4 linked regions of the Coturnix japonica genome follow. The protein of the gene in region 3 purifies or fractionates together with the protein of the main gene of each other region. This does not show direct contact. Links are inferred from orthologs where the notes say so. Each region holds a gene or a part of one and is shown on either strand. Other genes may lie near its edges. The genes, in order: PHF19, JARID2, EZH1 and AEBP2.

Region 1 (5,714 bases), on a different chromosome or scaffold from region 3:
GTTAGGGTTAGGGTTCACCTCACCTTGCCCTGCTACCCTTAGCTCCCTCAGACCTTGCACAGCAAGAGTGGCCCTGGTCTTAGAGCTCCAAATGTTGGATCATGAGCATTTAGGACCAGTGATGCTTCTCCAGCACCACTTCATAGAGGAACAGCCACATGCAGGGAGCGCCAGGGAGATCAGCAAGGCTGTACCCATAGCTGGGTGTGCTGATGGTTCTTTCCTTTTAAATACAGGTATTTTTGGAAAGGGCAACTGGAAGAATCCACTGAAATCCTGCTGGTAAGTGACAGTTCCCCAAGTCACAGCAATTCCCATCCCAGAGCCCAAGCCAAATGGGGCTGCAGGGTGGCATTGAAACCGAGTACCCCCAGGCTCATGGCAGTGGTGCATGGGGGGTGCAGTGGAGCTGTGCCTTCAGGATTGTTCCTTCTCTTTACTCTTTTTTCTTTACTCTCTGCAGATAGTAAAAACAAGGACGTCCAAAATAAGTGAATTGTCCAACTATGTCAGGTGAGCACGGGGCTTTCTATCTGCAGTATGCAGCCATCTCATCCTCAGGCTTTGGGTCTCCTCGAGACCAGTCCCACCCAGGAGAGCTCTAAGGCACTGCTGGGTACACTCTGAGAGCCAGAAAAGCTCCAGCACAGCACCAGCTGGGAGCAGGCTGCTGGGAACATCGGGCTCCCTGCATGGGACAAGGAGGGCTTCAAGGGTCTGCAGGTCCCCCCCATCTGCAGATTTCCTGTCCACCCCACGCGCTGAGTGCTGAGCACAGCTGGTGGCTGTGGTAAACCTCAAACTCAAAGCAGAATTCCCACGTGGCACAAAGTGCTTTGAAGTCAGGGGGGATGGCCCGGGGCAGGGCCCACGCACCACGCTGCTTCCTGCACCGCCAGCCTGTTCCTGCTGTGGGATGTGGCCGTGGCACTGCGCCGCTGCGTCTGTTTCCACTTTAGATCCATCCATCCCTTTGAAATCCCTGAAGTCATCAGCCTGCCTATCGACCAAGGAAACCCCCTCTACCTCAAGTGGATCGGAGAAAACGTCCCACGGGATTGAATGAACAGCCCAGAAACCTCCCTGCTCTTGAGGAGACGCGATGAGACAAGTTCTGCTGGTGTCTGTGCACAGAGTGACACAGGGGAGCAGCTCACATCCCCAGGGGTGTGCTACAGCACAGGGCATAGAGATGGGGAATGTCATTTGCACTTGAGATGTCCCCTCCCTGGCTTGGCCCTGGAGGCAGCACTGCAATGGGGAAGGTCACCATGGGGCTGCTGCTGCCTGGAGGTGCTGGCAGCACTGCCCTGCAGCACCTGGGGATGGTGCAGCGGGTGCCACTCACACACATGGCACTGGCTGAACCTTAGCAAGCGCCCTGCCTGTCAGCTGGGCTGAGCTGGGCAAAGCAACCCCATTCAGGGACCCAGGAGCCAGCAGGGCAAAGCCTCGCTGCTTTCTCCCCAGACCAAGCTGAGCCTTAGAAAATGATGCTCGTGTTGTGTAATTGGATGCAAGTTATGAAATAAATCTATTGTGTGGCTGGGAAGGGAATAAACCAGAGCATTTCCTACCTGCAGCCTCATGAGTCATTGCAGTGCACGGTGCAGTGAGCAGGGCAGGAGGGTCCTGTCAGGGCTCTGTCGGTGTCCATCACAGGTGGTGGGGATGTGGTGCAGGCACTGAGCTGTGCCCAAAGGCTGGTGTGTCCCCAGCAGCAGTTAGAGGTAGTGCAAGGAGGGCTCCCAGGTGCAGGAAACAAGATAGCAGGGAAAATGGTCACTGGGCTGTACCCACGCACAGCTGTTTGCATCGTCCTGCCATCCCCGTGCTTAGCAGCATTTCTCTATAGCACCACCCAGGCATGGGGTGCTGCCCAGGGCCACGCACTGACCCCTCAGTGCCACAAAGAGGCAGTGATGTTAAAAAAAGAAGAAAAAAAGACTTTATAATTGTACATCAGACATATTAATTACAACTTGGATATAACAAGAGTCGGTTATTACAAGCAGCAGCCTGAAACCATAAATCTTTAGAAGGTGCATAGAGTCATTATAGTATCTATTATAACTAATGCAAAATATATTCTGAAACAAAAATACTTTTAAAGGCTCCATATTCAGTTCTCTGCAATAGGCCAGGAGGAGAGGAGAGGGAGAGGAGGAGGGAGCTGCCAAGCTGGGGTCACCCATGTTCTCCCAGCACATCCCATGGGGTTGGTCTGGGTGCAGCTCCTGGCAGTCCCCAGCCCCCCAGGCAGTAACTGGGATAGTCACCTGGGCTCCATAGGCACTCGTGATATGGAAATACATGGTGCTCCCCACCAGGCATGGTGGGGTCTTGGCAGCAACCTCTGCCAAAACACTGGGGCCTCTTGGAGGCAGCTCCATTCAGATGAATAGATGCAAACTGCGCCGTGGCTGCAGCTGAACAGAGCTCAGCACACAGCTCTGCACTGAGCACTGCACCAGTGGCACAGCATGAAGGCGTTGCAGGTCTTTGTATTGCTGTGCCCAGCACTCAGGGTGTTGCAGCTCAAACACATCAGCGGATCTTAGAAAGAACCTAATGATTACATCTGAGAGTAGAACTTAAAAGGTTGCTCCTGAACAAAGTGACTGTATTGCTTTAGACAACAAGGGGTTCTCATTCTCCTTCTATATAGAAAACACACGGTGAAGCAGCAGCATGCCCACAACAGGGACAACCCCATGGGCTGGGGGAGCACCCTGCTGCCTTTTTGGTTTCTTGGCTGGTTTGGCACTGCAGAATGGGCATCTCAAGGAATGAAGAGCAGTCCGGGTGGTGCCCGCTCTGGTTTAAGGCACGTGTGTGTGTTTAGCTGAGCCATGCCAAGAGGTGATTGTTTGGGATGGGGAATGCAGCACATCCAGGCCATGGGATGGGGTCTGAGCCATTTGTAGGGTGTCCTCCCCTCAGAGCAATTCATTCCTCAGATGAATGGGTATGGCATGAGAAGGGAAAGCCCATGGAAGGGCTGCGGCATCACCTGCCATTTCCTATGGTGTAGGGATGAGCCATTGAGCTCCATGGTGTGACAGCAGTGGTGCTTTAGCACTGGGTCCCTGTGAGACCACTGCTCCAACCCGGACATGGTGACTGCAGGCTGAGCCCACACGGAGCCCACGCAGCCCCCGTGCTGCAGAAGGGGCCTGAGCTGCCCCACTCCTCTGGTGCCTCCGGTGTGACTGAAGGCTGAAGCAGGACAGCGCTGCTCTTTACATATACGGGGCTGATAAAATAACAGTTGTCAAAGGAATACAATAAAAAGGCAGAGGGGATCTACCCCTCACAGCTCCAGGCAGCCAGGGTGCCAAACACGGGGCATCCTCCTCCTCCTCCTCTTCCTTCTCTTCCTCCTGTGCTGCACCAAGGCCTGGCTGCACCCAAGGGCTCAGCTGTCAGCTCCAGGAGAGGTGTTTGGACTGGAAGGATGGGTGCTCAGTAGGGGGTGGTCCCTTCCCACTCCACCAGGTACTGCACTTTGCCCTCCAGCGTCACACGCCGTGCCAGCACCTGGTACTTCTCCCCGCACACCAGCCGCCCCGCAGCCCCAAAGTAGCTGCTGATGGACGACTTGAGGTGTGAGAGCGACGAGTCGTCCTCGCTGATGCTCTCAAAGGTGTGGCTGTCGATGCCATCATCCGGACGCTCAGGCCCATACGTCACCTCGCTGCCCTGGGGGCTGCCCACTGCTGGCTGCCTGCTTGCAGCCCCACTGCCACGCTTGGGCCGTGCCAAGGGGGGGGTCAGGACTGTCTGCTTGCGCTTACGGCTGCCCACCGTCCTCCGGCTGCAGGACAGGGAGAGAGGCAATGGGGTGCTGTGAGGGAAGATAGAAGCTCCTCAGGAAGGGGGTGAAGGGGCTGCAGCCCTCACCTGGACTCGCAGGACAGGCTGGTGGTGGCTGAGCCCGAGGTGCTGACAGCATCCGTGGAGTCCACGTCAGAGAGGAAGGTCTGCCCCGAGCTGGCGCTGGGATGGAGGCAGCGTCGGCCCCGCGGCCCCGCACCTCAGAGCTCCCCCAGCACCACAGCTGGGCAGCACTCACCTCTTCAGGCTCTGAATCTCATCCAGTGTGAAGTCAAAGATGCTGGCCAGGTGGTGGTTGGTGCTCCAGGCGGAGGTAAAGTCGCTCTGCACCACAAAAGCCATCACCTCAACACCACAAAGTGGCTCAGAACCCCCTGCCCGGCCATCACAGCTCTCCCTCCCCCATGGCCATCCCAAAGCCCGCAGGGACTCACGCTGGGGATGGCGTCCTCCAGCAGGAACTTGGCCCTTTTCCGCCGCACCGCACGCCGCTTCTGCTGCTGGAGCTGCCCTGGGAGCAGGCTGTAAGCAGAGATAAAAGGCAAGACATAGGGCTGGGGCTGCATAACAGTGCTGGGCAGCTCCCACCTGTCTTTATGTCTGCTCTTCCCTCTCCTCTTCTGCTCACAGGAGCCGCTCTCACCCGGTGCCTTCTCTGGCAGCACTTTGCTGGGGGGGTTTGGTGGGACGCGGATCCGCAGGCGGAAGATGCATTTCTTCTTCTTGATCTCCTTTCCACAGAGAAACCTGGGGATGCAGGAGCCTTCAGCCTGGGGGGGAGGAATGGACCCCAGGAGGGCAGGAGCACTCCATGCACTGTTCCATTCTCAGCCCAGCACTCACCTGCTCTTGTAGCTGTTGAGGGCATTGAGTAGGTGGGGGCCGCGCTCAGACACAGGGGTACCTGTCAGCTGTGGGGAGACACGAGCCTGAGCTCCTCAGGGCAGGATGGCCACCCCAGCCCCTTCTGGCCCCCTGCCCCCTGCGTCCCTGTGCCCCTGAGGCTCTGACCCTTCACACTCAACACCCACAGGCGTTACCTTCCCGAGCTGCAGAGGGTCCCAGTGGTGGTTGACGAAGGCCAAGATCTCCTCGAAGTCAAAGTACTTCTTCTTGCTCTGCACACCCAGGTTGTACAGGGCGAGATGGACCACGTCTACCCTGCAGGAGTGACCAAGGCCAGCAGGTCAGAGAGCAGTGAGCAGTGAGCAGCTCACTGCCAGCAATGCTGGCCCAGGGCACAATGACAGCAGCTCCGTGTCTTGGGACCCCACATCAGCCCCAAGGTGAGGAGTCCAAGGATGCACCAGTCCCAGGACAGACACTCAGTGTTGCAGCTTTCTTCCAAGCTCCAGCCATGCGCTCTCAGTGCACTCCAGTACAGGAGCAGGATGGCTCTTACTCACACATGGGCTGTTTACAAAACATTCTCTCCTGTGGGACTTCACACTTACATCTCCATAAGTGAAAGCCAAGCAGCACATCCTTCAGGATCTCCCTTCTGCACCCAGTGCTTCTCTATGCAACGCCCCCAGTGCAGCTAGCAGTGTTAAGATATTTTACATAGTGCTTTCAGATCATCAAGGTACACTATGGAGTATCATAGAAACTTATATTTAATCTTAAAACTCGATGGCTCGTTCCCAAATTGCTTTTTGCAGTTATCTCCTGGTGAAAGCATGCTTTGGCTCCCTGACAGCACAGCACAGCACACTGGTGCCCCACAAACCCAATGGGGACCCGGCACAGCACAACGGGGCCACGTCAGTTTCTCACCATCGCAGGGGCAGGCGCTTGATGTACTCAGGTCCCTGGTTGCACACGGAGCAGAAAAACACATAGAACCTGGAAAAGAGTGGGGATGGAGAGCATGAGGG
Region 2 (4,923 bases), on a different chromosome or scaffold from region 3:
TGCAATATAAGAGCGTAAGTATCACATCATTCAATCAAATCCCATATATCCAGCAGATGCTCCACAGGGCCAGCTACAGCTCAGGTTTACAAAATGGTCTCAATTATAATTCCATTTACGCAGTCAGAGCTTTTGGAAGCATTTATATCTCATGCTGATGTTTTCCAGGACTGGCCTTAGTACGTTGCTTAAACTTTCCTTGGAAGGTCGAAGAGGGAAAAGATAAACCAAAATAAAATAATTCATTAAGCTCATTTCTAAAGTGCCTATAGCAAAGTGGCTAAAATACAAGACCTGGCACATGTTACAGAAAAAGAGTCTACAAAAAAAAAAAAAAAAAAAAAAAAAGAGTCTCAATTTCACTACATTAGGAATATTTCTAAATGAGCAAGCCCTTTAAAAAAAAAAATTAAAAAAAATCTTAAATCTTTAGGTATGCATTTAATACCAAGCCAAGTTATTGGCTAAACTTGCATTTGCTTCGATGGAAATGTGATTTGGCCCCAAAAGGGGGGAGTGTGTATGAATGTCTACTTATATAAGCACCCACTTATCATCATGGATGATTTTATATCTTTCCTGCCAGAGCCAACAGTTTTCTAATCTTTGCACAGTGATGATCTCCAGCCTCTTTACTCCATTTTGTTTTCAATTTTAAATCAAGATAGGTTACAAAATTACTGCAGAAAGGATATACAGGATGCAAATCTTATAAGAGATCGCTGTTTGCTCCAGTTATATAGCACCCAGCAGAATAGAAACCTTGCCTATTAATTAGGCTCTTAGGTACTTAAATAATAAAAATAATTAACAGTAATGCTATCTTAATGCCGAGTTAAGGTATTTCATTAAAAAGTTACCATTGTTCCAGGAGTGTTAATCGAGCTGTCTTGCACATTTTCTTCTCACTCTCGCCAATGTAAATTTAATTCATTACTCGTCTCTATTAGCATATAACCATTGCATACATTAAGCATACAAAATGTTCACTTATTGCTGCTTGAGTGATTTTAATTTTCAGATTTCCTTGAACGTTTTTGCGTGGCTGCTGCAACAGAGCACTAACCCTCACTCCTCCTCCTCCGACACCATCATTCCCTCTTGTGCCCTTCATTGGTTCACCGTGAACCTCATCATCTCTCCGTGTGCTTTTATGCATGTGCACCCACTTACCATACGTAAAAACAAAGTCTTAAAATATGGGGGTGGGTGGAAGGGAGAGGGGAGGGAAGCATTGTGAACAGTTTAAACAGAAAAGTGTGTCCTTTAATCCAACTAGTGTTCATAGCTGCCTCTGATGGGATAATGCCTCAAAGGCAAAACTCTAGCCTCAAGTTGCAACACGCAGATCCTGTGTGCTCTGACTCAAAACACTTCAAAAACAAAGGAGAAGGTTAACACAAATTGGAAACAAAACTTTGTTATTATGTCATGGCTGCAAAGGCAGCTGAGATGGAGGTGAATCATTCAACAGTTCATTTGTATGCTGCTGTTGTCATGTTTTTACAAACTATTGTCACATTTTTGTCACGTGTCATATTTGACAGCAGACCATAAACCAAGAATTCTATTAAATAAGTGATTCTTACTCAGGCATTAGCCTTGGCAGACACCTGCTGCGAGAAATAATGAAACCTCCATTTTGCAATCAACCACATTTTACTGCCTATTCTTGACACTTAATGGTTGTTAAATGTCAGCAGGTCACTGCAAATTTGTGATTTGAAGTGTCTGAGTACCCCAATAGAAATCAGTTTCAAGATATTTTTTCCCCTTGGTTAAATGCTTTTATAGAAAGGGGGGAAAATATTTGTATTCTAGCTTGGCAGCATTGTAACCTGTTTGGAATACGTCTTTGGTACTGTCCAAGAATATTCCAAAATAACATTTAAACGAAGACTATTAATACCCACAGCTGTACTACTTAATAAAATAAACAGTAGGGGCGAAGATCCTGAAATTTGAAGACCAGGATGCTGTAACAGCATTTTTCCCTGGGCAAAACAGAGCTGGAAGGAGGAAGGTGGCAATGCAAAGCCTCTGAGCAAAGCTCTCCCACGACCTACCTGCACCACATCTGACTGGTGGACAAAGAGAGAGAGCCAGGCTCTGCAGTGTTAATTGAACAGAGGTTTGGTTAAGCATACAGGCAAACGGAGCATAAACTAGCACACAGACTCTAACAAGCAGCAGCAAAAGGCCAAGGAAACCACAGCCCTTACCTATGAGTGGGAGTTCGTCCATGGTAATGCCCTGAGATTTGAGGTGCTTCTTGATACAGGCCAGCCGCTGCACGTTGGGTCCCCAGCGCCTGCCTAGCTTGTGTATGTGCTGAATCTGTGTCACAAACCGCATTTCATCGTTTAGCTTGCACTCAGGTCTCCAGTCTGGAGGAGGAATCACCCTGCACATCCCATACTTCTCTACCTGAGCTCGGACTGACTCAATGTATATCAGTGGGTCATGAAATTCCTTGGTGGAGGGCCTAAGGATGGGAATCTCCCCCAGCATCCCCCACCCAGACTTACTACTGCCCTTTTCGTGCTTTCCCATTGAGTCTTGTGGCTTGTGCAAGGACTCCGCTTGAGAGGTAGAACGATTTTCACAGGAGGCATTTTCAGTTTTGCCATGTGCTTGTTTCCCTGGCGTACTCTTTCCAGCAGTGGCTCTTTTCGGCCTATTTCTTTCCAAATTCTTCTCTGGCACTTCCTTTTTAAGGTGTCCATTCAGCAAAGGCTTTTCGACAACTGCCTTTTTGCTCGCAGCTTCTGCCAAGTTGACTGCCCCTTTCATTCTCTTGGTGGGCGACTGTATTTTGTCTATGTAATTAGTCTCTTCCAGCCTCCTCTTCGAATTGCGCAGCCCCTCCCTTAACTGTCTCCCCACCTCCTTAGTGCATGTCTTTTGGTTCAACTTGCCATTGACTTTTACACCATTAACAGCGGTATTGTTAGACTTGGATGCTCCAAGGGATAGCACCTGTTTGCGGGTTTTTGCATTGCTACTTTCTAGTTTCCCTGAGATTGTGTGGTTGACAGGTGAACTGGGTTTGTGGTGATTTAGTTTGGTTTCCTTGACCAGTTCTTTCTTGGCTTTGGTGTATGTGACAGTTCCCTTTGTCACCGTTGCAGTATACTTCACAGTTTTGGACGGTGAAGGTCTGACGTCTCTCATCTTTTTGGCACTGGCTGCATTTGCACTCGGAGATGACATTCGAGTGACTCCGTTGACTTTAGAAACCTACAAAGCCAGGAGCATCGCAGGGGGAGCAGAAGGAAGGAAACATAAAACAGAAAAATAAATTAATGAGGTTGCCAGTCCGCCACAGTTTCCCACTTACTGGACAACCATATTCTGCAGTCCTGACTCCTGGCCCTTTTGTACAATCTTCCTATAATAATTTTCACCCAGGCAGGAGGAAAGACTGGGTGTTCTGAATATGAAATACACATTATTATTATTATTATTCTACAATGAACCAAGATGTCCCCAGAAAGGTGATCTTGCTTTTGGAGGGTATGAAGCCTCTGGTACTAAGAAGGGTGAGGTCACTTGCTAGCAATACCCTCTTCTTTCCCTACCAAAAAACAAGTTACACTATCTACAAACTAATACTGTTATTATCTCCTTTTCCAGACCTCAAAGGCTATTCCCTCACCCACCCAACTTCCTTTAAGGGCACACATAGTTTCCTATGTAGTAAACAGACTAACCAGTGTGTAACATCTACTCTAACCTGCATGTTTTGCAAAAACCACACACTTAGATTCACACAAACCTCCTCTCTATGCACACATACCTACATATAGAAATAAATATTGAACACATTATGTACCCAACAGATCAGGACAGCCATGAGGGATCCAGTCTGTCTTATACATTAAAGCCAGGGAGGTGTCTTGTTGCTTTAGTTATTAACATGAAATAAAAATGCATACGGGAGTTCAGTGCATTTTTTAAAAGGTGGTTTTGTGTATTTGTTTATGAAGTTTGATATCTGGGCAGTTTTACTGACTCATCATTACTCACTAATGTGCCACTGCAATTTACAAGAACTGGACTCCATTTCTTTCTGTTAGGCACTTTAATCCAATTACAAAACTAAAATTAGTATTTTAATTATAAGACATGTTAAACACTGAGAGCCACCCTTTCAGAAAGCAGCCTTCAGCTTCAAAGGGAATTGTGACAGCTCAGCACTGTCAAAGCAAGCCCCACTGCTAAGAAAATGAAAGTTCAAGATTAAACCTTTAGAAAGTTAAACCATTTAAACAAGTTTGAACACTTTCTCTGACCTCCTTAAACTACCATAAGCAAGGAAAAATACACTCAAAAACCAAAGGAACACTGATAAATGTGCATACAATACGACAATCGCCCCTTATTGGCACTCAGGTAAGGAGCACCATTTCTACAAAGCTACAGTACTTTCCTGTGGGATTTCAAAATGCTTGTCAAATCAGTAAGCATGGTACCTTCAAATAAAGAATTCAAGAAATTGAATCACTTTATAAAATAGGGATGTTATAAAATAGGGATAAAATGACTGACTGAAAAGAGCACACTACAGTCTCCCATTAAGTGTGTATTTACCATTTTCCCTTGAAATTTAGGCAGCAGAATTTGAAATGTAGGCCAGGTTTGACTTTTACAGAGCCTTCTTACAGTGTAGAACAGACACAGGTAGAGATCTGCTGAGACACTGCCTCCGGCCTGCAGCTGTCAGCACAAGAACTCTGGCTTTATAAACAGCCAGGAACATTGATTACAGATTTGATCCAGACTAATTGAGAAGAATTGATTAAGGACTGGAAGGGGAAAGGTAATCTGGATGACAGTGATTATGAAATGTGTTTTCAATTCTAAAATATGACAATACCAGAGAAAGGACAACAGATTTTAGGGGGAAAAAAATCTGAAAAA
Region 3 (5,514 bases):
CACATGAATAGAACTTGCCTTTTTCCTGAGAGTGATTCCAGGTGCTCTGGATTGCAGGTTAAGAGACAGAAATGCAATTACACATAACCTATTGTCTTGAAAGCAGGCTAAAGCACTTCCACATGGTACTCCACTGCTTTCAGAGTAGATAATATATTGATTTCTTAAGGAATATCACCATTTATTTTTACCTGGACAGGATTTACATACATTAGTTTTCTACATCTGCAAGAAGTTCTGGTGTTCCCTCAGGCAAAGTAGGATGCAAACACGACCAACACACGACTAATTTCTGTAGCCAAACCCACCTTCCGCTGCAATTCGTTTTCTTTTTCTTGTGACTGGCAGCTCCTCTTTCCCATCCTCCTGTTTGACTTCAGAATCATTGTGTCCTTCCTCTTCCTCATCTGAGTACTGATTCAGGGCATTCACGAGCTCCAGGAAGACAGCATCACTGATGAGGACTGACCCTGAAATCATTTCTGAAATACAGTGATGTCAGTCAGTCTGTAGGAGGGCCACTGATGTTCTTCAGCCACACAACACAGTTATAAACAAAAACTTTCCTGGTGATTTTGTAGGGACGGGTAGAGTTTTAATGCTCTGGAGCCCTAAGAGTGCTGTAACACTTTTGGAGACCTGAAGATAGCCCATACAACAGAATTTTTTGCTGCACTCCACCCTCTACACAGTTTTATGATGAGCTAGGAAAGCATGCAGACTTTTTGTCTCTGAAAAGCTTCAAGTCATGGCTAGGGTCACAAGTGAAATGACGGTGCTGAACTCCACCTAATCCTGAGTCTAGAACAGAGTGGGGGATCAAAAGCCAAGAGTGCATCCTTATAAACCAGAACTGCAGGCACGCATTTCTGCTTTTCTGCTCTTAGTGCTCTCAGATAAAAGATGGTTACTGCTACCATCTTGTGATTTCTTAACTACTTTGATATCTTACTTGCAAGAAACTGAACTGCTAAGTGTTTCTGCTCCCAAATTACCTTCCTCTCCATGAACTTTCCCATCATAGTTATTAATAAGCTCTTCAATGAAGGTTTCATCCTCTTCCTTCACCTCATCTCCCATGTAAGGGATGTTGCACAGAACAGTTTCATCCTCCACCTGAAAAGCAATTAGATACAATTCAGTAAACTAGCGCTTTCTAATTCCCAGCCAAGCTGTGTCTCTAAGGCTGCTCCCGTCCACTGCATGCAGAAAACACTGCATAAAGCAAATGTTCAGCCTCCCCAGCTCAAATTTCATGTGTCTCACCACTGCCATTTCATTGCTATCCCATTCTATCAGAATAACTCTAACCTCAAAAAATGCATTTGATGTTAAAAAGAAGAGAACAGTATCCAAAGGTTACAGAAACACACACACTGCCAAGAACAATGAAGAGCCAAAAATGTCAAAGTTGTAGTGATTAAGAGAGTAAAACTGGAACAGTGAAGGAGGCAAAACGACAATTCATTCTAGAAGGAATACATCTGAAGCTGAGGAGTGTTTTAGCAGGGAGCAAAAGGGAAAGTTGTGTTGCATGCTTGGAGGGAAAGCACACAACACAACTTTCTACCATGTCTTCCTGAGCAGACATTGCGGTTACACAATAATCTCACAAAGACCTTGCACCAGAGAGTATTCCCACCTACCATGAAGTTCTGCTGAAGGGGGGACCACGAGTACATGATAGGCACCAGCGCCACTGTGTTCAGCGTCCTCATGTACAGTGTCTGGCTTGGAAATCCTGGAAAAATGCTCTCAACTGTACACTAGGGTAGAAGTGAGAAGGACGGTGAGGAAGCAGCCTCTGGGAGATTGTCACCATCACAGAAAGAAACAGCACTTCAGGGCAAACATAGCAAAGGCTGCGTTCACTCACCGTGTTTGACAGTAAAAGCTGTTTTTACCCTGCACCATGAAAGAGTGCTAGGCACAGACTGATACTAACACAGCTCTCCCTACCTGTTTTAGGAAGGGGTGCCCGCTGACTGGCTTCATTAACTGCACTGGTTGAACTCGAAGCTTCTTCCAGTCTTCATTAAGTATTTGAGTCTTTTCATGAACCTTTGCAAAGTTGGCCACAAATAGAGCCTGAAATGAGAGAAAGAAGCACTCACTTCACAGTTCTCATCATGCATCACTCATCTGATAAAAGCTCCAATACTGCAAACTGAAGTCTATAGCAGAGATCATTCCAACCAGAGCCACTGTGTCTTTACCTTTGCTCCCATGTTTGCCTGAAATCTCTTGAGCTGCCGGAGACGCATATATTCAGACTTGACTTTTCTTTTCCAATACATAATACACTTTGATGTTGGAGGAGTGGCGATTTCCATTTTTCTATGAAAATACAGTAAGAATAAACTCACAGAACGATGAGTTAGAAGTGACCTTAAAGCCCCTCCAGCCTCATCCCCTGCCATGAGCTGGGTGCCCCCACCAGCTCAGGCTGCTCAAGGGCCCCACCCAGCCTGGCCTTGGGCACCTACAGCTCTCTGGGCAGTAGTGCCAGGACCTCACCACCTCTGAGGAGTGAATTGCTTCCTCACATCTGACTTAAGCCTGCCCTCTATAGCTTATGGACAGTCCCCCTTGTCTTGTCGCTGTCCAAGCAGCTCTCCTTCCTGCTTGTAATCTTTCGATTCACAGGGCGCTGGGAGGCCAACATGTCAGGAGCAGTGTTACATCCAGCTCAGAATATCTCATTGCCAGGAGGCTGGGAAGGACATTGCGCAGGCTGTCAGCACAGGACAGCTCCTGGCTGGGAATACACAGTGCGACCTGATGGAGAAGTTGGAGCCGGGGGTTTGGGCATCGGGCATCGCCCTGTGAGCCCAAGGGACGCTTCAGCTCCCATCCAGGAGTCTGAGTCCCCGGCCCGGGCTGTACGTACCCAGCGGGCCGCTCCACTCCACCCACGGGGGTTCCCTGGGCCCCCATCACCGCAGCCTCCAGCCACGAGGGGACACGGGGACCCCCGGTGGCTGCCGGGACGGTGACACTGCGGAGTGTCCGGGACAGGCCTCAGCCGCTGCCCCGCCCGGTGCCCGCTCCCAGGCCTCACCCAACCCCCGGGCGCTGCCCCGTCCATCGGGCCCGGCGCACCCCATACAACAGCCCACGGTCCCACGGGGCCCCACGGGGCCTCAGGGGACTTAGATCTGCCCCCTACGAGCAGCCGCCAGCCCCCACAGGGCACGGCACTACCACGGCACTACCACGGCACTACCACGGCACTACCGCCCCGCTCCATCCCCCACCCCCGCCGACCCCTCGCTCCCTCCCGGGCCCCTCCCGCCGTGCCGGGCCGCCCCCCGCCCCCCGCCGGACCCCAGGCCCCGCCCCGCCCCGCACTCACTCCTCGGCCATCGCGCCGGGGGAGGCCGCGCTCCCCGCGCACTGCGCATGCGCCGCCGTAGCCCCGCCCCTCGCCGCCGCCCCGCCCCGCGCGGTGCAGCCCCGGAGCTGCGGCTCCGACCGGGAAGGGCGGCGCCCCGCACCGGAACCGGCCGCTCGCGGCCCGGCCCCGCCCGGCTCCACTCGGCTCCGCCCGGCCCCGCTCTGCTCGGGGCTGCGGCCGGGCGCTCCCTTCCCCAGCCGCGCTCCCGGCCGGGCCCCTTCCTTCCTTCCTTCCTTCCTTCCTTCCTTCCTTCCTTCCTTCCCCTCCGCCCAGCCGGAAGGAGCGGGGGGAACCCGCGGGTCCCTGTCCGGGCAGTGAGCGGGGCCGTTGGCTGCTCATCCCACAGCTCAGCCCCGGTCCTGGCCGTATCTGCTGCCTTTGAGCCCGTCCTGCTGAGTCGGGCAGAACCTTCCGCCTTCCCTGACATTGGGTTGAGCGCGGGTGGAAGGTGCCGAGATGAGCTCGGTGATACGCCCCGGCACGGGGGGAAGCTGCAGCCGGTGGGAAGATGCTCGTCGGGGCTGCGGCTCCTGCTCCCACTACCGGCAGAACCTGGGGTCTGGGTTGGACCCAGCGCAACCCCCGCAGCCTCACTGCCCACACTGCGCTGAGCCCCAGAGCGCAACGTGGGCAGCTGCAGAGCGAGTCAAAGCAGCAGGCGGGGTCCAGGCTGCGTCTGTGCCCGTTGTGCCATGGGCCGAGGCTGGCAGCAGGGCTCGGGACGGCTGCAGCCCAGCCCAGAACATGGGAAATGCTTCCCCCGCTGCTCAGTCGAGTCCCCCTCACAGCACTGCAGCCAAGGGCTGGGGGGAGCTTGCAAAATGGGGCTGGGGAGCAGTGGGTGCTGGCAGACTGCCCCGGCTGTGCAAGGAGTGGCCGGCTGAGATCACCGGGTGTCACCCTGGCAGAGGCTCCTGCTGCCGGCTGCAGCTCCAGGGCTGTGACAACAAAGTGCAGAATGGGGCTGTGACTTTGTGCCGCAGCCTCGTGGGCTCCCGGTACCGCTGAAGGGCTCCCAAGTGCCAGGAGGGTGGCGGCTGCCTCAGCCTGCACATAGCACGTGCAGTGTGTTGCAGCAGGAATGTGCAGCACAGCAATAGAATCCTTCCAAAGCAGGGAGGGTCCCCATGAACTGCAATTCTCTGCTGTGTGATTTGTGCTCTGTGAGTCCCATGAGTGGATTTTAAAGGGAAAGCTTTGGGCTGGAGCTCAGCCTTTGGCAAGCAGTTAGATGAGCTCGCGTGGCCTGAGCTCCATCCCCGGGTGGGGACCCTGCAGAGCCAGCACCGCGCTGCCCTGAGGTGGGAGCCGAGGTGGCACGGGATGAAGAGGAGCTCTGCAGCCACAGTCCCTCGCCCCATCCTCTCCTCCTGCCTGCTTGAGGCTCGCACACCCGTGGTACCGCCGCCGTCCCTTCCAGCCCCACCCGTGCCCCCGGGGCAGGTGCCACACGGCGCCATGAACACGGGGCTGGGGCCGTAACGACCCCGAGCCTCCAGCAGAACCCTCCGGGGACGTCCTGCTCCACCGTCCACTCCCCCCGCTGCCGGGCTGCCTGCCCTCCACGCAGGAGACGAGGGATTTCACAACCCAGCCCAGACAGGATTAAAGAGAAATACACAAGTAAACAAACAGCGGCCTTGTGAAGCGGCCGTGCTGCGGGAGCCCCTCTGCTGCCCAGGGTGAGGTGTGGGGCGATGCCCGGGGGTCCGACACTTGCTGCACAGCGGTGGGGTCCTGTGGGGAGGGCTGCCTCAGAGCAGCACTAAGTAATCTCATTTTTCACACGTCTCCTGTAGTTCAAACAGCCCCTGTCAGAGGAAAGGAGTTGCTTCCTGTTATTTCCATTGAAATCCTTGTCCCGGTCGCTAGCCCGCAGGCTCCAGCAGGATGGCACCGTATGCGCAGATGGGCTCTGGCTGCCTCTCCCGAGGGCTCCTGCTGCTCTGCGGTAAGTGCTCGGCCCCACAGCACGCGGCTGCACCCCGGTCAAGGCAGGACTTGTGCTGGGTGAGCGGGACACAGTGCTACGGCAGCCATCCAGCACCACCGGGCACTGTGGGCGGCCCCTTCCCCTTGGTGGGCAGCGATGGAGCGTCTGAGGGGACCCGGTCTGG
Region 4 (4,923 bases), on a different chromosome or scaffold from region 3:
TTATGAACAAAAGAGTGAATGCCTTGGCATTTTTCAGAGTCCTCTAAACTGATGATTCCTTCCTATAAGCTAGAGCTCCAGTGTGAGCTTACAAAGCAATAGATTTTCTTTTTTTGTTCATTTTTTTTTTTTAATTTAGGTGTTTATTTTTTTAATTTAGATAATCAAGAACGAGGTCTTCAATACAACTCTAACTCGAAAAACTTTGGCTTCTGCTAGAAATGTGAGGAATTAAGTTTTATAAGAACAGCTAAAATGCAAAACCATTTTGGTTCTGAACTGATGTAAGACAAAGCAACAGCTGATCCTTCGTGTTATTTCTTAAGTGATTTTCTATCAGACAGATTTCAAAAGCTTGAAAAAGTAAGGAATCAAGTGAAGAAAGGAGTCTAGTTAACTAACAGGTTATCACAATCACATCACGTGGGCTCAGAGGACTACATTCATGGGGGAACAAAAGAATTTTACTAAGTTCACAACACAATTATCCTCCACCCAAAGCTCCCAGGAACAGATTGGAAAATATAAAGATAAAATACAAACAGAAACACTGAAGACAACGGTAGGGAAAAAAAACAAAAGGAAATGACACACTTTGAGCTACAACAATAAACTACTGCAAATCCAGCCTATGTTTTATTCTTTCCCCAAGGGTGGCCAGGGGAAACTAGCTGGGGAAATAATCCACACTTAACACAAGATGTTTATTATCAGAACCAACTGTTTGAAACTGCAGGGCTTTGAAGAGGTTAGCCAAAAAAAAAAACACCAAAAAAACCCAAAACCTGAGATATTAATTTTACTCACTTGGCTGGATAACACTCCTAAGACTCAAGAAGTACTCTTTTTCTTGAGGTATACTCTCCTCTTTTAAACTCAGTATCTCTACATTGAGTTTCTTTGATCTATAACAAGCAAGTACACAAACTAACCTACCAGAAGACTCATAAGACCAAAACCTGCCACTGCACTTTAAAGCACACCCCCAGTTCTAAAATGAGAAGAAAGAAGGTACAAGTTTCCCCCAGTTATTCATTTTCAAGTTTGATTCAAGGATTTGCAGTTATAATCAGATCAGTTACTGGAACAATCATATTTGAAAGCTTCTTTCAGAGATCTATGATCCTTACGCTAGCTTCCAACAGCATGCTAACTTAATTCCTTTGAACAAAGAATACAATAATCTCAAGAACAGAATTTACTCCCTGCCATTCATTCTGTATGAAATGTTCATACTAAACTAAGCAGTTTGGAAGGGAAATATATATATATATAATATTTCACCTGCACTGAACTATTTTCACCCTCTGGGTTTTGAGTATAGTTTTCTGTCATAGCTACTATAACAAGCTGTGCAGAAACAATAACTTCTGAGAGAGGTCACTGTAACGGGAAAGTACTTTTTTGTAATAAAACTGCCCTAAAATTTAAAAAAAGTAGACAACGTTACGCAAGACAGAAAACAGAAGCAGAGAAGCAGTGACTAAAACCTGATGGGCTGGGGCAAGGAAGGGGAAGGAAGGTATAAAATGCTACCTAGATGTAATAAAAAAGTACCCTCATTCATTTTTCAAACCCTAGATGGAAGAACTTCAATCTGAAGTAGCGTGGGTGAGACTTACCATCAAGTGATCCAGGACTGACAGCTATGAACTGCCCCAACTGTATCCATAAGAGGATGAAGCAACTCATTAATAACGGATTGGTGGATATGGGAATGATAAACATTACTATACCTAGAATTGCAGGTACAGATTAGGGGAAGAAAGAAAGAGAAAGTTAGAAAATACTACGCAGGTAATACAGTCAGCTCAATGGTCCTGCAATCCTGACTTCCTTATCATTCTCAGAGAAGTTAACCACACACAGACACTGACTGTTTCAAATGAATACTGTTAACAAAAACAGCTCATTCAAGAACAGAATGAGCACCATCAGGCACCAACCAAAGCGTGAAGCATGAGGCAAAGCATCTCGCTGTTACACCATAAACAGCTCAGCTTTGAAAAGCACAAGTAACTGAACACAAGCATTATTTTAGTTCAGATTACCCTACTGTTCACAGGTTTAAAAGAACAGGGACAGAGAAGCAGTATCTTCAATTGTGTTTCATAACAACAGAATCTTTGGGTAGTGTCAAAGACAAGTTTATCTCACTTGGTAAGTTTTAACAAATCCTCCTGTGACAGCATTTTTCAATTAATACATTATATAAGGAAAAATAAAGAGATTTCTCATAAAATAAAGGATAATATACCTTGCTATAAATCTTACCTTGAAAGGTTTGTCCCCACTGTGTGTCAGCATATGCCTCTGCAACCAACTTTGACTTGTTGAAGGTGTATTATATACTTTGCAACCTTTCCACAAGCAAACAAACACCTGATAAAGTAAAAATATGGTCAGTTTATACAAGTCAACGAAAACAGTAAGAAAAAATTAATTAGCAAAGAAGCATGCTAAAAGAATTTTGAATCAAGCATTTATTCTGCAACACGCTTCTCATCTCACCAAGGCCAAAACAACTGAAACCACAAGTAGTCAAAAATAAAACATAAAAAGCCAGGCAATCCTGCAGATAAATACAACCAAGAGCCACAGCTTGCACTTGCCCTGTGTATCAGTATCACCCAAGCACTGAGATGTAGAATTTTTATATGATGAAATTCACGTTTTCTGGATAGCAAAAATATAAAGGATAAAATGGTTTCATCTCATAAGGAAGAAATAACTGCCTTCTTAAAGAAAAGTTAAAGCCTTAATTAAAACACAGTTGTTTAAATATAAGTCTCATACTACAGAATACTGGATAACCCTAGTTAAGGTTTTAAGCTCACTTCCTGATGAATAAAGTTAAAATCTTCCATAGGATTCAAAATCTATGGGTGTTTAGCTATTTCCATGTACAGATTAGTCACACGCACAATAGTGCATTAAAGGGAGTAGAACTTACTCATGCTGCTTTTCTCTCTCCTCTCATTGTGTCTATCTATAACCTAGAGAATAAAAAAAGCTCAATGAACTTGGCTTTCATCAGAAATTCCTCAACAAGCCTGTGTGTGAAGGGAGGTACAGCCCTAATTTTTAGCAGCAGAATACAGTCCCCAGGACTAGCATTGTCCAAAATACTTTCAGAATACCTTTCAGAACTGCAAGCAGCTAATTGGATTTGAGTTTCTTGTTCTCTTTCAGAGATTAAAAAACTGAACCTTCAAAAGACTGTACTTCCAAAACAAAAGAATAGCCAGAGGAGTGCTATGTGCTTGCTATATAACATACAGACAGCCCAACTTACTAATGCAAAGCTGGAAAACCTTGTACGCCTATGTGACTGATCAAGGTCTACTGACATGAGGCCTAACTTTCTGATGCTTTGGTGTCTGCTGTTTCTCAGTTTTTAAAGTCTTCCTGTAGCCAATGAACTGGAATTTTCAGATTTCTGGTAACAAAACACTTCATTAATTGTCCCAGTATCTCCATCATCAACTGCAGAGCACTCAGAAAGGAACTAATATGAAACAACAGGTTGTTGAAACACAACCTCCTCAGAAAACGTGCACTAGGTTTTACAGCAACCCACAAGAAACCCCAGCAAGGCTTTTTGGGAACACATCTCTGAAGGCTGAATCCAAACTATTTCTAACAAAACATTTCAGGGAGGTAAAACTATTATTCCACTAGTATGAAATGAGTATCCTGGACATTCATGATTCTACATGGAGTAGAACTGCTATCTTAATATTAACTTAGAAAATACACATATTACCACCATAAATGCAACATGATAAGCATGCTTATAAGTTTCCAGTAAGCTTTTACTACTTCTTTCACGTTTATATTCATTGAGTTGATTAAGTTTTGAAATCCAATGAAAATCCCTAGAAGATGCACCACTTAACCGCCTCACCAGCAGATGGCGAACCAACCCTTGGAAGAAAACAGCCAGCATCATTCCCCTGCAGAGCGTCCAGTGGAGAAACTTTACAACAAATAAATCAACTCCACCAGGGGGAATAAAAGGAGTGTGAACTGAACACAATAATCAGGCACACAGCGTTACCTACAGCTGTCTCTTTCAGAAAGATGAATACAGTGACGTTTTCTAAGTAAAAATATCCACAAATCACACCAAACGTAAGCATGAAACATTTTTCAGGTTTTTCAATCTCTTTCTAAGGGGTCACGGGTGGGACAAAGGTCACCAAAGATGCATTTATATGAAATCCCACAGGATACTGATACATCTCATCCACTTAATTGTTTCATCCAGGATACACGTAACACGTTTATAAACCCACAAACAGAACTACAAAAGTCTGTCTCGTGGGTGACTAAGAAGCTGGCACATTGGTCAGATGATTCTGCCTGGAGTTTGGACTGAAAAAAGTCACTAAATATCAAGCTGGAAGTTCAGCCATAACAATTAACATGAACTAAATGCAGCCAATGAGTCACAATGACACAACTGGAGAAGTGCAGAGTTAATATCACACTACTTAGAGATTATTTAAAACCTTAAAATTGTGAGACCTACCAAAACCACACCACTTAACCAGATATTAAACTTAAATACATACTTCAGTTAAAAACAAAATAAACTAGGTGCAGTCACATTGAAGGTGTAAGACCTGCCACCAGTACTACAAACAGAACTGTTCTGCTAAGACTCATACTTCCAAGACAACCAGTCTTACTTCTTATATCTACCCATATATATTTTATTAATAACAAGACTCCCATTTGTAAAAACAAACAAGATGTGACTTAGCCTGAGTTAACACGCAGTAGCACATACACTAGAAGTTACGAGAAAATTAATTCCAAGTATTTCTATTTAAAAAAACAGCATATCAGGATGCTGAGAAATTGCTAAATCTATTAAAATTTCAATAGATTCAATTACTTTATTAAGAACATATTTTC

Evidence for each region.
Region 1: the proteins of EZH1 (region 3) and PHF19 purify together in Homo sapiens (affinity purification with mass spectrometry; 4 studies listed by BioGRID and IntAct, counting the BioPlex papers as one, with this or other methods). This does not show direct contact. The link is inferred for Coturnix japonica from reciprocal best matches to the Homo sapiens genes EZH1 and PHF19.
Region 2: the proteins of EZH1 (region 3) and JARID2 purify together in Homo sapiens (affinity purification with mass spectrometry; 4 studies listed by BioGRID and IntAct, with this or other methods). This does not show direct contact. The link is inferred for Coturnix japonica from reciprocal best matches to the Homo sapiens genes EZH1 and JARID2.
Region 4: the proteins of EZH1 (region 3) and AEBP2 purify together in Homo sapiens (affinity purification with mass spectrometry; 3 studies listed by BioGRID and IntAct, with this or other methods). This does not show direct contact. The link is inferred for Coturnix japonica from reciprocal best matches to the Homo sapiens genes EZH1 and AEBP2.

What each region holds. Positions count from the first base shown.
Region 1 is NC_029532.1:6,765,795-6,771,508, forward strand, and holds the end of PHF19 (PHD finger protein 19), read right to left. Parts: intron 5,683-5,714; coding exon 5,614-5,682; intron 4,999-5,613; coding exon 4,878-4,998; intron 4,749-4,877; coding exon 4,681-4,748; intron 4,585-4,680; coding exon 4,272-4,584; intron 4,162-4,271; coding exon 4,076-4,161; intron 4,000-4,075; coding exon 3,904-3,999; intron 3,848-3,903; coding exon of another isoform or gene 3,818-3,847; coding exon 3,466-3,817; 3' UTR 1,924-3,465; downstream 1-1,923.
Region 2 is NC_029517.1:67,735,997-67,740,919, forward strand, and holds part of JARID2 (protein Jumonji), read right to left. Parts: intron 3,241-4,923; coding exon 2,223-3,240; intron 1-2,222.
Region 3 is NC_029542.1:4,629,398-4,634,911, forward strand, and holds the start of EZH1 (histone-lysine N-methyltransferase EZH1), read right to left. Parts: upstream 3,219-5,514; 5' UTR 2,938-3,218; coding exon 2,891-2,937; intron 2,338-2,890; coding exon 2,217-2,337; intron 2,089-2,216; coding exon 1,960-2,088; intron 1,767-1,959; coding exon 1,647-1,766; intron 1,117-1,646; coding exon 996-1,116; intron 483-995; coding exon 309-482; intron 1-308. Other genes in the region: RAMP2 (receptor activity-modifying protein 2), read left to right, coding at 5,288-5,348.
Region 4 is NC_029516.1:59,185,076-59,189,998, reverse strand, and holds part of AEBP2 (zinc finger protein AEBP2), read right to left. Parts: intron 2,383-4,923; coding exon 2,275-2,382; intron 1-2,274. UniProt on the Homo sapiens protein: Acts as an accessory subunit for the core Polycomb repressive complex 2 (PRC2), which mediates histone H3K27 (H3K27me3) trimethylation on chromatin leading to transcriptional repression of the affected target gene.